Tamandua tetradactyla: one gene and its partner. The protein of the gene in region 1 binds, or shares a complex with, the protein of each later gene. Links are inferred from orthologs where the notes say so. Each region holds a gene or a part of one and is shown on either strand. Other genes may lie near its edges.

The links.
Region 2: CACNB3 (region 1) and CACNG1 share a complex: the UniProt entries of both Homo sapiens proteins name them as parts of the calcium channel complex. The link is inferred for Tamandua tetradactyla from reciprocal best matches to the Homo sapiens genes CACNB3 and CACNG1.

The regions. Positions count from the first base shown.
Region 1 is NC_135333.1:109,718,008-109,725,597, reverse strand, and holds the start of CACNB3 (voltage-dependent L-type calcium channel subunit beta-3), read right to left. Parts: upstream 3,120-7,590; 5' UTR 3,094-3,119; coding exon 3,049-3,093; intron 1-3,048. UniProt on the Homo sapiens protein: Regulatory subunit of the voltage-gated calcium channel that gives rise to L-type calcium currents. Increases CACNA1B peak calcium current and shifts the voltage dependencies of channel activation and inactivation.
Region 2 is NC_135332.1:7,078,462-7,086,081, forward strand, and holds the start of CACNG1 (voltage-dependent calcium channel gamma-1 subunit), read right to left. Parts: upstream 3,046-7,620; 5' UTR 2,992-3,045; coding exon 2,757-2,991; intron 1-2,756. UniProt on the Homo sapiens protein: Regulatory subunit of the voltage-gated calcium channel that gives rise to L-type calcium currents in skeletal muscle. Regulates channel inactivation kinetics.

The DNA of each region.
Region 1 (7,590 bases):
ACAGACTGAGAAGGCAACACAAAGCTATCTCCCTGGGCATGGGTGAGGTTGGGCCCTGCCTACCACCTGGCCTACATTCCCCCCAACTCCTTCCCTAAGCCCAGGGGAGATCAGGCCCTGGAGAAGGGCCAGGCTTGTGCCAGGCAACCCAGCCAAAGAGTCAGACCCTGGGGACGCAGGGGGAGGGTCTCTAGTAAGCAAAGCAAAGAGAGTCTCTGAATCCTGCCCATACGAAGGGCAATGAGGGTGTATTTGGAGAACCCCAGAGCTCATCTTCAGGGCTATGAGGGAGATACACAAATGAAAAAGGGAAGCTGGACCCTGGGACAAGAGACCTGAAGTCAGGATATCTGAGTTTCTCCTCAGTCTAGGGAGAAAGGAATGTTGTTTTCTACTTTAGTTTCCCTTCTTTACGGGCAGAAGACTGAAATGATGCTTCCCTCAATTCTAAGTACAGGTGGCAAACAAGGTAGGAGTCTAGATAAGCTGTTCGTGTGTGTGTGTAGGGGAAGAAACTTTAGTCCAGTGTCCAGAATGTTCTCAGACCGAGGAATATTTCCCCAAGTTCTCTGTGCATAAGTACCTCGCAAGAGGCAGCAGAGACCAGATTCTCAGTGGGAACACATACCTACTGTCCACTTGGCCTCTGCCCCAGTCGTCTCTTGGGCAGGAGGGCTTGTCAGCTTGGTCTTAGCCTAGGTCCTAGAGCTTAAGCTATAGATAACATCTGTGGTAGACCAAACGCATGAAGATAGCACAAGGGGGGGAAAGTCTTAATTTTACAGAGGAGTTGAGTCTGTCTGCTCTTTCTCATTTCTCATGAGAGTAAAATAAGGCTTGCTTGGCAGCAGGAAGGAGAGGCTGATCCCCAGGAAGGATCTATGCATTGTCAGTAGGAGGGACGTCTTTCCCAGGGGTCTGAGTATAAAAGAGATACCTCTGCAGGATACGGCTGTGTGAAGTAGATAGGGGCTGATAGGCTCGGAGACAGGAGGAAAGGCAGGATAAATTAATATCAGGTACCTCTTAGATGCCTAGCACTGAGCTGGGAGAGGAGTCTAACCTTTACTCCCTGTCCTCTAGGCTGTCAACCTAATAGTAATCTTAATGTCCCCGCCTGGGACATCAGGGTTACCTGGCCTCCCATCTAGGATGGGAATGACAGGATCTCTCCTTAAATATTAAATAAGCTGTGCTCAGAATGGAACCCCCTCTTCATTACTCCCAAGTCCTCAGGGCTCACTCATCTCTGATGCTCTGGCGTCACTGAGGGAGGCCAAGACTCCTCTTCCAAGTACACTGTGGGGTCTTGTCTCCCCCATCTCCTGCTTTGCCAAAACAGTCACAGGCTCAGTACTTTGGAGCTGCCAGGAGTTGGCACAGAGCCCTGGTGGTGCCCCCCTTGCCTGGTGAGTGTGTGGGCAGGCTGCAGCTCCACTCTTGCCTGGCACGGGGGAAGGCGAGGAGGGAGATGAGCCGGTAGATTTATTTCGAGTCTGATCTCCCTCCTACTTCTTCAGAGGGGGCCTCAGGGAGAGCAGGGAGCCAGGCAAGAGAAAGGGAAGTGGGGGCAGGGGATCTAGGAACCAGAAAGGGGCAGGAAGGGAGCAATAGGTTTTCACACAGCCTTCAAACGCCATCCACCTTGCAACAGCTCCTTCCTTCTCTCTCTAGGGATGTGAAGAACCTCCCGGCTCCCCTCCAGCCCCACAGAAAGGTCCCTTTTTCAAGCTCCCCTTGGCACCCTGGGCCATGCCAGCTGTCCCTTCATTTTTCAGACACGGGCCTTGAAAATGATGTGCTCTAGCTGCTAGGTAATTAGCCCCAGAGGCCCAATGGGGAACTAGGCCCAGCCGGAGCCCAATCCCAGAAAAGGACTGACAGCCTCCTATTCTGAGCCCTAGCACTCATCTATCCTGAGCCTGGCATCAAGAGATAGGAAAGAGCTTGAATACACTTCATTTTTAGACCCAGTAGTGTTGGTAACCATACAGTTCTACCCTTCACAACAATCAGGGGGTCCCTTCTAAGACATCTATCTGGTGGTCCTCTTCCAAGGAGACCTTCTTTCAGGTTTAAGGGAAGGTTGATAACTCCAGGAGTCTGAAAAGCTGCTCCCCATCCATGCCCCCTCTTTCTAGATCCTGTCCCTGATCTCTGAGCTCCGGGAATCACTGCCTAATGAACTGCCTTGTCTCAGTGGGTCAGGAGATAAAAGCAAAGAGGAGAATTAAATATTTATTAGTTGCCTGGTTCTCTGAGCAAAGAGCTTCCTCTCCAACCTCAGGCCTTCGGCTTCTCTGGCCTCACCTCCGGGCCCTCCATGCTGAGCAGGGATTCAGGGTGCCTACTGCTAATGAGGAAGCCTCAGCAGGGAGCTGTGGAATGGATCCAGCTTGGTCAACCAGCCCACCTATGTAGTGGGTGCCTGGATTTCAACCTTGGTCAGAAGCTGGGCTACAGAAGTGTGAGGAGATAAGGCAATGCGCAGACATGGAGGGCAGGAAGGGATAATGGAGGTTCTCAAGTTTTATGATCCCTCTTTATGAAAAGGCTAGGACCAGACTCCTTGATGTTCTCCCAGGCTCCCTTATTTTTTGCTGACTTGGGGCACTGGTCTGGAATGTCCCCCTCCTCAAGAGCCCCAGCTCCTCCTGTAGCTGTTGTGTTTAGATCCCATAAATCCTCCTCTTCGAACTCTAGACATTGCGTCGGCCCTCTCTAAAGCATCTGTGCCATTTATCTCCACTCCTCCATTCCTTCCTCCCTCCACTCCTCCCGTTCTATGCTTGAGAGCCACCTGCCCAAGCCTTTTCCCCAAACTGCCCCCTACTTGCTCGCATCCGATGGCCCTTGGTCTAGGACTAGGGCACTGGGGAGCCCCCGGCATGAAATTCCACCTCCCCACTTTCCTACAGCGCCCCCACCGTTGCCCTGCCACTGAGGCTTTTTTTTTTTTTTTTTCAAAGTCCTGAACTGGGGGAAGGGTCCAAAGGAGAGGAGGTGCCATCCCAACTCCCCACCCCCACCCTCACCGTGGGCACTCACCGCCTCCGAGTCCTCAAACCCGGGCACGTAGGAGTCGTCATACATGGGGGAGTCCGGGTGGGGGGAAGCGAGCGGCGCCGGGGCGGGAGCGGCCGGGACGCAGGGGCGAAGGCAGCGGCCGCGCCCGAGAGATGCCACCGAGCCCCGCAGCCCGGCGGGCGGCGGCGGCGGCGGCGGCGGCGGCAGCGGCGAGCGAGAGAGCGCGAAGCAGGCAGCGAGTCGCGAAGACCAGCTGCTCCCAGCTCAAATCACCGCTCCCCCTACTCCTCCCCCCCAACCCCGCTGGTCCCACCCCAGGAGCGGCTGAGGAATCTGGCGCCGGCTCCTACAACAATAGTGCCCGCCCACCTGCCTCCCCTCCCCGGGAGAAGGCGGGGTAGGCGGTGGGGGACGCTGGCCACTGGGGGAGCTCTGGACTGGGCCGGGAGAGGGTAGTAGACCGGAGCTGGGTAGAAGGTGGGTCCCCAAGCACCTATGGGGCAGAGGGGGAGGCGGGGAGGAGGGGGAGGAAAGGGAGGAGAGACAGCGGGTGGGGCGGATCCAGGCTTGGAGGAGGCGGGGCGAGGAGAGATGCGGAGACCCAGACGCCAGGCAACCCAGGAAATACTCCGTCGGGAAACAAAGGGCTGGAGCGGGGGAGGGGAGGGGACACCGAGACTGGGAGGGAGACGAGACTCGAGCTGAGAAAGGAGAGGGCGCAGGTTACCGGGAGTCAGGAGAGAAAAAGAAGGGATAAAAGCAGAGGGAGGAAGCGGGGAGACAGGGAAATGGGGAGACTGAGGAAAACAGAAGAGGCGTGGGGGAGGGACAGCTGCAGACGGGGGAGGGGCCCCAGGTGAGAGGGCGGTGTGTCTGGGCCCTGGCAGTCCTGGAGACTCCAAAAGCAAACCTCTCAATGGAATTGGTGAGAAATGAGTTTGGTGACGGAAGTCAACGCCATGAAAGCAGCCCCTATCCCAACAGGTGCCCACCCCCCTCAGTCCAGAGATGCTTCAGCAAAGGGTTGTGTTGCCCAACCCCGTACTGAGGGTAAGGGGCGGGGTGGGGGGTGGGTGTGTGGGGGGGTGGGATGAGATGGTGGTGGTGGTAGTGGTGATGATGTTTCCTGAGCTGGGGTTAGGCTGGCAGATTTCATTTTAGTCTAGCAGGGATGGAGGTTCCCTTCCTCACTTCCCTGACAAGGACTGTGCCAGCTCCTCGGGAACTGGAGCTGGGAGAGGCTGTCTTAGCTGAGCCTCAAGGGAGGGGGGAAGAAACAAGTGGATGGAGGTAGGGGGGTTATTTTGGGTAGGAGAGAAAATAGGGTCCTGGCCACACTGGAGTTGGAAGGGAGAAAAGGCATGTCTCCCCAGAGTCACTGGCACTGGCGTAAGACTAGATTCTCTCCTTAGCAAAGATGAGGGCTAGGTATTCAGATTCCATGTACCACTCTGCACCAGTCAGTCTCCTCCAGAGGAGCCCCAAGATTAGAGACAGAGCCATGGCCTTATCTTGAAGAAATTTCTCCAAAGATGCCCCCATTGAGCTCCCTCCTTTCTTCATCTCCTGAGCAAAGTTAGTTCTCTAAATTTTGATTAATGGTCTAGACTGCCTACCCACCAACCTGCCCAGCCCACTCCCCTCAGGGGGATGACAGAAGTAGACAAGGGGTTACACACTTGGTGAGAGGTCTTAGGCCTCCTAGTGTCTGGACCTTTGTCCCTGAGCTTGATTTTTCTCTATTCCCAGTTTTTCACACCTCACTATGAGGGTGAGATAAGAAAATGGGGGTGTGAGAGCCTCTATAAACTAAAAATCCCTGCCCAATTGTAGGGAGTTATTGTTATCACTTTAATAACCATTTAGTGATGCTTCTTTCCCTCTCAATAATGTGTTGAAGGAAGATGAACAGGAAGGGAAGAGTTTAGAATAGGGACCTCTCTGTCCATGAGCAGAGGGTGGGGAATGGGGGAGGGATAGTGGGAAGGGTATATGGTATAGTAGCTAAAAGATGTTTGGAAGTTAAGATACTTGCATATTAATTTTGGCTCTGCCACTAAAAAACTATGTGATCCCAGTCAAGTTACTTATCTCTGAGACTATTTCCCGCTCCTTAAAAGAATGTTGGGCTAGACTTTCTGGGGGGTCTTTTAGCATTGAGACTTGGAGTCTAGGAGAGGGACCACCAAATGTTCCTTACCCATCTCTGCTCACTAATTTATTCCTTCCACAAACATTTATAGAACATCTTGCTCTAAATAATTCCCAGTCTCTTCCTGTTTCAGGGCTAGAGGAGACTCAGGAAACCAAAACTTGACAAGGTTCATGGGCTCTTTGGTAGAAGGGCCTATGCGTGGGAGAGAAGAAGACCCTTAAACCAGTCGGCTTCCCATCTATGCTACTTGTTTGTGCTTGCTTGGCAAGGAAAAGAGAGAGAAGGGGCCTCATCTTAAAACTATTTTTAGTTTGCCTTTAGTCTGACTGTGCCTGTGGATGGTCCAAGCCCCGTCCAGCCCAGCATCCTCCTTCTGCTAGGTTTGGCAAACTGGATTTGGCTGGAGCCCCTACAGCTGAGGGGACCAGTCCCTATTGTGAATGCAGTTTGCTTTCACAGTTCCCTATCCTGAGGTTATTATATATTGGATTATTATATATAATTTGAGGTTATTATATATTTTAATATATAATATTAAATTGGGAATCCCCCAACACACTGGCTTTTCACTTCTTTGCCCTCTCCCACTTTCATAGCATTCCCTCTATCCTCCTCTTTTATTCTCTCTGCCACTTCCATTTCTTCTGTCCATTTCTTCTGGGGGCAGAGAAGAGATCTGAAGTATGAAACAATAAGACCCTTAAGGGGCTTGCTCCTAGGAGAGGATTCCAGTGAAGACAGATGCTGAGTCGGCTGCTTCACTCTCCATCCCTGAATCTAATCTGCGGGCATCTCTTTTTTGTACTCTCCCTAATCCCAGGGAGTCCTGGAGACTGCAAATAACAATGGACCTGTATCAGCAGTACGCCTTCCTCACACACCTTGTTGTCTTCATCCACATCTGGGACAATAGTGCATAAGTCTGCGCATGAGGCATGAATTGCCATGCCAACAAATCCCAGGAGATGGATTCAATCTCCTCACACCTGGCCCATCCCCTGGGTTCTCCTGGTGCTTTGGAGCCTCCCTTTCTTCTTGTTGTATCTCTGGGTTGCTACCAATGCCCTCTACCATTTGGTAGACGAATGTCTTCTCTAATTCTCAGGCCAACCTAGTGATTCCTATCTGTAGCAGGACATGTCAGTATCCCTAATCTTTTTTCTTTCTCATGGCTGGGCCTAAGGGGAGAATGCTGAGGGCAAAAAGGATCAGGGGAGGTACAATGGTGGCTCAGTGGCAGAATTCTCGCCTGCCATGTCAGAATGTCAGAGACCTGGGTTCGGTTCCTGGAGCCTGCCCATGTAAAAAAAAAAAAGGATCAGGGTCCAAGCCTTGAGGAGAGGACTCCTTCTGCCAATCTCTGCCTAGACGAGATTAGACTGGCAAGTAGCCAGGCATTGAAGCAGGACAGAGGGGGCAAAGTCTGAGTAACCAGGTTTGGGAAGTAGAGTTCTTGGGTGCCTCCAGAATACATTCTAGCTTTTCTCATTGCACCAGGAAGCTGTGTAGATCCTAATCCCTGAGCCTTGAAGGGGGAAACTGAGGCAGGAGCCAACACCTCTGCAAAGTCCTCCCTCCAGGAGTCTCCAACAAGTGCATTCTAGGGGCTAAACTGACGCCAGGGAATTCCGGGTGAGGTACCAAGGAGAGTTCAGCAGAGCCCTCCCTACTCCCTCTAATCTTGCCCCTTTCCAGCTTCCCATAAATCCTCTCCTCCCTTCCCAGTTCTAATGCTTAGGAGCTGCCAGCTCTGGCTTCTCCCTTCTACGGGTTGCCTTCCACCCTTGGTCTGGCTTCCTCTGGTCTCCCTCCCCTACCACCCATTAGGGAGGGGGCCCGCGTTTACCTCGTTCAGCAGGAAGGTTGCACTGGAGTCAGAAAAAGACATAGACCGGGCTAGTGGCCTCTCCCCCTTCCCCGGGCCCGGGGCTCCGAGGCGGGAGCAGGACCCGGCCGCCGCTCCGCACACTGGGTGCTTTCTGCACGCCTTGCCTCGCCCCACGCCGGCTCGGCTCCTCCGCCTGCTCCCCTCCCTCTTGCCGGGTCCGCTCCCCTCCCTCCTGTCGGTTCCCTCCCCCTTCCCTCCTCCTTTCTTTCCCTCCCTTTCCCCTCCTATCTTGGCGCCTCTGTCAGTCTCTTTCGCTGTTCTTTCGCCTTTCCTTCCAGCCTATCTCCCTCCCCGTTTCTTCTACCTCCTCTCTCTGATCTCAGCTGTTTATCTGGGCGCCTCCTACTGCCCTTCATCCCAATCTCTGGCGCTCGTTCTCCAGCTCCCCCTCCCCTCAGGTTCCCTCTCAACCCCCTCCCCAGAAAGGGAAAGGGCTTTGGAGCCCCCATCGCCGCAGACTGAAGGGCAAGAGTAGCCCAAGGCTGCCTTAACTCTTGTGCTTTAGGCAGAAGCTTCTACT
Region 2 (7,620 bases), on another chromosome or scaffold:
TCTCCTGGTCTTCATTGAGGTGCTCTGTCTGCATGCTGAGGGCACACCTTCAACATTCAGCCAGGCCATTTACAACTGTCTTAGACTTTACTTCCTGCTTGTGCCAAGCCTCAGCATCAGCTAGAGGTAAGAGCATGGGGCCTTCTCAGGTCTTCCTGAGCGCACACTGGCCTACAAAGGTGCGTGGCTTTCTAGATTCCCAGAAATATGTTGGAGCTTTTCAAATCTCCCTATGGACATCCCATTCTCCAACTTCTCCTTTTAGACTTTTTGGTTAGTCTATTATTTTCTCCAACTACTATCTACTGCCTCAGGCAGCTGGGATGTTAAACAATCGCCTCTGGTTGTTTTTAACAAATGTTCTTTAGAAAAAGACTGTTGACACTGGGTGAACACAGAACCAGGTCAAGTAAAGATAGCTTGCAAGTGGGGTCTCCCAGGGAACCACCTGACAGGTCAAAGAGTGACAGTTCACTGGGTTTGGGTTTGGCAGGCATTCCAACCACCTCTGCTCCCTGCAGTGGCTGCCGGGCTGCTGGTTTTCACCGAGATTGCAGAATATTCATTTTCAAGGCTACTGTGGAGCTGGGTTGGGGTGTATGGGATTAGGGCAAGTTAAAACGCCACAAAGCTTCCTGTTTTTATCGATTCAGCCGATTTTCTTGAATGAATGTTCCCCAGATCATTGCAAGACTGGGGTTAATTTCCAGAAATCTGAAAAAGTAGATTCTGACCATTTTTGCCTGTGCTCTCATTGCTATTCTGGAAGAAGGGATTTTTGGAGGCCCTTACTCCGCCATTTTTGTCTGAAGTCACCCAAAGTTAATATATCTTAAACACTTAGAACAATGCTCTACATGCAGCGCTACCTTGGTGTCTGTTGTTAATATAATAGTTGTGCTATTAATGACGAATGAGAGACCACGGGTGAAGCCTTTTCCTTTCCCTGGAAAAGAATGTCCCAGGGAGCATGGGAAGGGTGGATCGGAGAGGAAAAAGATGTCTCCTTGCAGCGTGGCAGAAACATACTTTAGAAGTTTCTTGGGCAGAAGGTGGCACTTGGTGTCACTAGCATGGGAGGCTGGATTCACAGCTGGACTAGGGCAAGAAGGCGTCAGGGTGGGCCCTGCTCGGGCACCAGGCTGCGCCACGCCCACTGCTCCCCCATGGAAAGACTGGTCCCCAACCGCTAAGCCATCCCTTCCTGAGTGGACTGTGCTCACACTCCCTCACTCATCTGCCCCACGAACTCGTCAGCCTCTAAAAGGCATGTCTCCAAGGTTGGTGGGCAGAACCATGACAAAGTGTCTCCATGCATGATTCCTGAAGAAGCTGCCCTGTCCTGCCCTGCCCTGCCCTGCCCAGCCGTGCCCGGGTGAGTTGTCTGGATGACATCTGTTTACAGGGTGTGCTCAGCAGTGGCGAGGGGCACAGGCTTCAGTGTTATATGATACCCTTCAAACACATGCCCTTGCCTGTTAAGGCCTTCAGCCCCAAGTCTCTGTTTTTCCAAGACAGCTGAGTATTTATGAATCTTCCAGGCATCTAGTGGGGGTGAGCAAGGCAGGGGTTTCTTGGAGCAAGCAGGAGGGAAAGGGAGAGAAAGGAGAGCAGCTAGAAGGGATTTGGGCTTCTGTGCCCATGCCTTGCATAGACTGCAAAATATTTGGAGACTCAGCACTGACTTCCTTAAAAGGCAAGTTTCAAGGAACATCCAGTCTGATAAGACAGGAAGTAATTCTGAAAATCAGGCGGGATGCCCCACACCCTTGTCCACTGTCACACTGGCAGGATGTTTGTGGGGATGGGAAGGGACTTGGGTTGCTGACCCATATTTTACAGAGAAGGAGGAGGCCAAGAGAGGCCTTTGCCTCACCCCAGCCTGTATTCATTCAGGGGTCTATGAACACTGTGTGGCCAGACAGGTCTCTGGTTCTCTTCTAACATATGGCGCATTTCCTGTGAATACAGAGGGTTCCCCATTTGCAGAATCAAGACCAGTCACTCTAATACCTTACATTCTTGCCTGAACGTGTGGTTCAGTCACTCGTTGGGAACTGAAATTACGGCCCAGAGCTAAGGGAGGCTGTAGGGAAGGACTGAAGTTCTGAGAAAAGGGCAGGTGGCTCATCTATATATCCAGGGACGGCTTCAGGGGCACGTGACACAGGTGGTTCCTGCAGGCCACGCTCAGAAGGGTCTCACGCTTCATTTAATGCTCTCCTGGCGCCATCTTGAAATTTTTAATCACTTTGGGACCAGGAACCCTGCATTTTCATTTTGCATGGGGCCCAGACATCCCACAGCCATTCCTGTGTCCAGCCCTGCCTGGAGGCCGGGAGGGAACCTGCCAGCCCCATAGGCCCCTTCAAGCCTGAGGACACAGAGCCACCCAGCCTGTCTCTGTAGGGAGAGAGGGGGGCCCAGCAGGGTGACCGCTGCTGGGACCAGAAGTCCCCCACCTGTAAGACCCACAGTTTCCTTGTTGAGCCATCTGCCCTGTCTGTCCAGCCCTATTTTCTGGGTGAAAAGCCCCACACCTCAGCAAGACAGAAATAGCTGGAGACAAATGCCCTTATTTCCCAACCCAGTTCTGGCTGTCAGCACGGACAGACATAACTCAGATCCTCTTTCCTGGGCTAGAAGGGTTGGATGTCTGCTCTGTCCCGAGGCTGAGAGACCTGGCTCTTTTTGATTTTTCCAGGGGGACAAGGGGAGGGCAGGAGGGGACAGCGCAGACAGGGCGGGTACGTTACCCCCGGGCAGGCTGATGGGGCCGCAGCTCTCGTCCTCGCTGCTGCGCGCGGCGATCCGCTTGGTGCAGATTCTCCAGAGGCCGAAGTGGGCGGCCTCGCAGGCGGCGTCGTGCTGCTCCACCCGGGGACTCAGCACGGCCCAGTGGTCCGTCACCACAGCCACCAGGGCCAGCACGACGCCCACCAGGATGAGGGAGAGGGTCACGCGGACCTTGAGCGCTTTGGTCTGGGACATGGTGGCCGTGGAGGGATGGGGTGCTCCGGGCACGACTGGGGCGGCCGCGGCTGCCCGGCCCGAGCTAAGTTTAGTGTCCCCGCTGAGCCAGAGGGGGCCGGCCTTGGGGCTGCGGGGGCTGGGGCACGGCCGGGCAGCTGCTCTGCCCCGTCAGGGGCCTGAGGGACGGGTCTGGTAATGCCCAGCTCCAGGCGCGCGCAGGGCGCTGTCGGCTCAGGTTGCAGGGCGAGGACCTGATTTGGGGAGGGGGCTGGTGAGCGGGGCTCTGCCTGCTCGGGGCTGGGGGAGAAAGGGACCTGGCTGGGCCGGGGCTGCCTAGCCCCCCCCCTCAGCCCAGGTCCTCGCCCTGCGGGCCTAGGGGACATCCTGGGTACCCCCCGCCCAGGGCCCCCTCTCCCAGGCCAGGCCGTTAGCCCCAAGCCCACTGTGGCTCCCGGGTCAAGGGACGGTTCCAGGCGCCCCCAGGGCAGGGCATCACCCAGCACAGACCCCAGGCTGAGGATGGTATTTCCTCTCCATTTCCCTTCCCATTCCTTCTGGGGCCCCAGAATAACAATTCAGTTTGGGGGCTGTAGGTCTTGAACAACCTTTTGACATTGGCAAAGCGTCCTTTGAAACAGAGAGTGGCCCCCCCAAAAACTAAGAATTCAGATGAACTTGTCTGTCCATCTGCTTTCGTTGTACTTTTTCAGTTGTACTTGCCATTAATGGCAGGTAATGACTTTACAAAATAAATGTGTTTAAATAAACTAAAACACAGAAGTTGGTCCATTTACCAAGACTTCCAGGAGGCTAATGGGGGTGCAGTTACACCAGAGACCACGTCAAAGCTTGGGAGCACCGCAGTGGCGGGGAGGGCAGCTGTCCACAGCCCCCCACCCCACCCTGGCTGGGGCTTGAGGCTCTGGTTTCTCAGCTCAGCAGGTGGCTCTTCTAGGGTGTGTCCAAGGGGCGGAGGTGTGGCCAGAAATAGAGCCCTGAGCTGAGTGGGATCCTGAGCTTCCAAGTCTTGGAGGGGTCTGGTTGTGAGAACACAGAGTGCTGAGAACGGAAATGACACTAACCCTAGCTCCTCTTTGGTGAGTGCTTACTATAAACCTGGCACTCCACCAAACCCTGCACACGTCATCACAGCCGACTGTCACACTTATCCATGAGGTGGGGACAGCTGTAGCTCCCATTTTATAGATGACAATACCGGGCTCAGAGACACAAAGTAACTTATGCAAGGTTGCACAGCTAGTAAGTGGTGAACCCGGAGTCCACGCCCTTAAGCAATGATTGGAGCTGGGAGGAAACTTCAAGCTCTATGAATCTTGAATCTATGAAGTGACTGAAAAGGAAATCTGCAGCCCAGAGAGAGGCTGTGACGAGCCCAGACTATCCGTCAACAAGCTCCAGAGCTGAGCTGAGATCCTGGGCTCTGGCTGCAAGCCTGTGCTCTTTCACCTGCATCTGAATCCCTGTGCTAAAACCAGCCCCGTGGGCACCGCTCTCTCTCCCCATCTGGATTATTTATCGCCCAAGAGCTTCTCTCACAACCTTTCTCAGCTCTGCTTCCCTTCTCTTCCCACCCTCCCCGCCTCTGTGTTTCCAGGGGGAGCTAATCCATCACAGTGAACTCACTCACTTCTTGAAGCCTGTCACCGCCCCTGCTTCAGCGTGGGGAGTGGCTGCCTCCAAGAGAATTCCGAGATCCTGGGGACACAGCCCCGCAGCCCCGGAGCTCGGAGCTTGTTCACGCCGCCCACGTGGGCTGGGCCTCAGAAGAAGCCCAGGCAAAGTCCCGCCGGGAAACAGGGTCCTCGGGGGGTGCTGGAGAGCCTGAGGCAGACGCACCATGTGCCTGCCACTTGCATCAGCAAAGCAGGGCAGGGAAGCAAAAGGATGAGGTTCTGGGGTTTGATGACAGAATATCTAGAAAGAAGCTATTTTAATTTCCACATGCAAGTAACTGACGTGTCATCTGAAAAAATAAAAATGTATTTTAAATTTCTTAGTGAGGTGGATGTGAGCCCCTTAAGCTCCCCAAGGCTGGGAGCCTCTGACGTCTTAGAGGTGTCTTAGGTGGGGCCTGGCGTGGGGGACACTCAGGGTTAGCCACGCGAGACCATCTCGTGAGAGCAGCAAGAGAGCAAATTTCCTCACCTAGGGGCAAGTCTGCGCTGCATGTGAACTTTTTTGTCCTCCAACCGAGTGAGCAAAAGCGTTAAAGATGGGGGGCCTCTTCCTTTGGAATTCATCTTTGCAAATCTCACCAGACAGCTGGCAGCTTCAGAGAGTGTAGGCAGGTCAACTTTCAGCCTCAGTTTCCTAAAAACTCCTGTCTGCTCATAGAACCACAGCCAGGCTGCCTGCTCCCCCAGGGCGTTGCCCGCCAGGAAGGGGCTCATTGGCCACTGCCACTGGCTGGGAGCCGGGGCTGGGGGATGACCCGCCCCTCACCCCTCCCACCCAGGGATCATTCTCTTCCAGCACCTCAGGGTGGAGGGCGTGGGGGGCGGTGAGCAAATGGAAACCCACCCGCCCATCAGTGCCTGCGCCAGCCAGTCCCGGGATGAAGTCCCTGCTCTGCCGTGTTCCAGCCGTGGAGCTTCGAGCGAGTCCTAACCTCTCCAGACGGCCTTATCCTCATCTGTGAAACAAGGGCGCTGGCGCTTGGCGTGGGGGCTGGTGGGTGCATTAGAAATAATGCACTTAGTCCCCGGGAGGCAATCATTCCAGGAAGGCTGGGATGATGGTGTTAGTTATGGCCCACAGAAGGATCACTTTCCCCTAATGGGCTGTGAGCTTCTGGGGGGTATGGAGGATGAGAGGCACAGCACCCGGCTCAGGATGGGCTCTGCATCAGCGTTTGTTGAATGATGGATGGATGGATGGACTGATCAGAAGGACTGATACAGTAAGAAAAAGAAGGAAACAGAGGCACAAATAATTTACTGCCCTATGTTATTGAAAAGACATTTCCACCTGGCTTTAAGATCAGAGGGACAGAAGAGATGGCAGCTGGGGCAGACCTGGGGCCACCTGGGACAAGGGACTAACTTGCTTCGAGATGCTGAGGGCTGTCAGGAGGCCCAGGCGACCTCTGGAATGTCAAGGTCAAAGGGAGCATCATCCGGAGGGCTGACATTGTCTACAGATCGTTTCAAAGTGGACATCTGGGAGTTGTCTGTGTTGTGCGCATCCGAAATGAACCCCTTTCGTTTGCCCTGGGAAGCTTCATCTGGAGGCTTCGGTGGGAGCCGGGGCCAGGCCACGTCAGGCCGACAGCCAAGTAACTGCCCTTCGGTAATGCGCTGATTCGATTTTGAGCTCAGGCTTAAATAGGCTCAAGCATGGCTTTGGGTGTTTGATTTAAAATACCATTTCGAAAAAAGCGAGGGGCCATCCTAATGTGCCTCCACCTTCTGACCTCCGCATTCCACCTCAGATCCCCCGTTGCCCTCTGGCTCTCTGCCCCCACTTCCATCCCCTGGGGGCCCCTGCACAGCGTGTCACCTGTCCCCTCCCCCCGCCCTGCAAGGCTTTCCCAGAGCTGCCCTGGGAGGCCTGCAGGTGTCTGCGGAGCAGCTGGAGAGTAAAAGCATATTTACTAAAGTTCAGCAGTGCAAAGAACGCTACGAGATCAAACACCCACAACGCCTTCGCTGTGGGACATGGGGGTTGCCCAGGCACGTGCATTTTTTAAATTTTAAGACATTTACATTTTATTGAATGGGGATTGGAAGTATCCAAACCGTGCTTTCGTTAATACTATTTCTTCAGGGCAGGGCCAAAATAAGAATAGTCCATTTCAGATGAGTAAAAAAATATGGATTAATAAATAAATAAATAATGAGGGGACAAAGAGTAAAAGAAATAGAGTGGATGGAAACACTAGAGGTCAACGAGAGGGAGGGGTAAGGTGTATGGTATGAGTTTTTTCTTGTTTCTTTTCATTCCTTTTTCTGGGGTGATGCAAATGTTCTAGAAAATGATGGTGATGAATACATGTGATGATATTGTGAGTCATTGATCGTACACCATCTATAGAATGTATATATGTTGAAGATTTCTCAATAATAATATTTTAAAAAGAAAAATAGAATAGTCAATTTAAAGAAAAAAGAAGAAGTAGTAACCATTCAGGCGGTGCCTGGGATGTGTGAGGGCGCCAGGCCAGTGTACGTCAGTGACAGGGGCTTGGGGCATAGGCACAGACGCAGCCCTGAGCCCCAGCTCTGCCGCTGCTGAGCCCTGTGGGAGATGTTTAACCCTGCTGAGCCTCTCTGCCTGCAAAGCAGAGAAGACATAGTGTCTGCTCCGTGGGACGAGAGTGACAATGAAGCACAGTGACGTGAGTGTCCCCGGAAGCATTCGGGGGCTGAGGTGAGTGAGTAGGGCGTCCGCTGCGGTGGGGCCCATGGCCTGGGCAGCCACAGGGACGTCTCGCCAGTGAGTTCACCAGCATGTAAGGGAAAGAGTGGCCCTCCCTGAGCCGGGACAGGGCGAGTTTGACGAGCCCCTGGAAACCCCGTCGCCATCCAGAGTGTGAGTCTCACCCTGAGAATGATTTAAGAGGACTCCGAGTGTTGATGCCTTTCCTGCAGAATGGGTAGCAGTGGAGCCAGAGAAATATTATTTGGT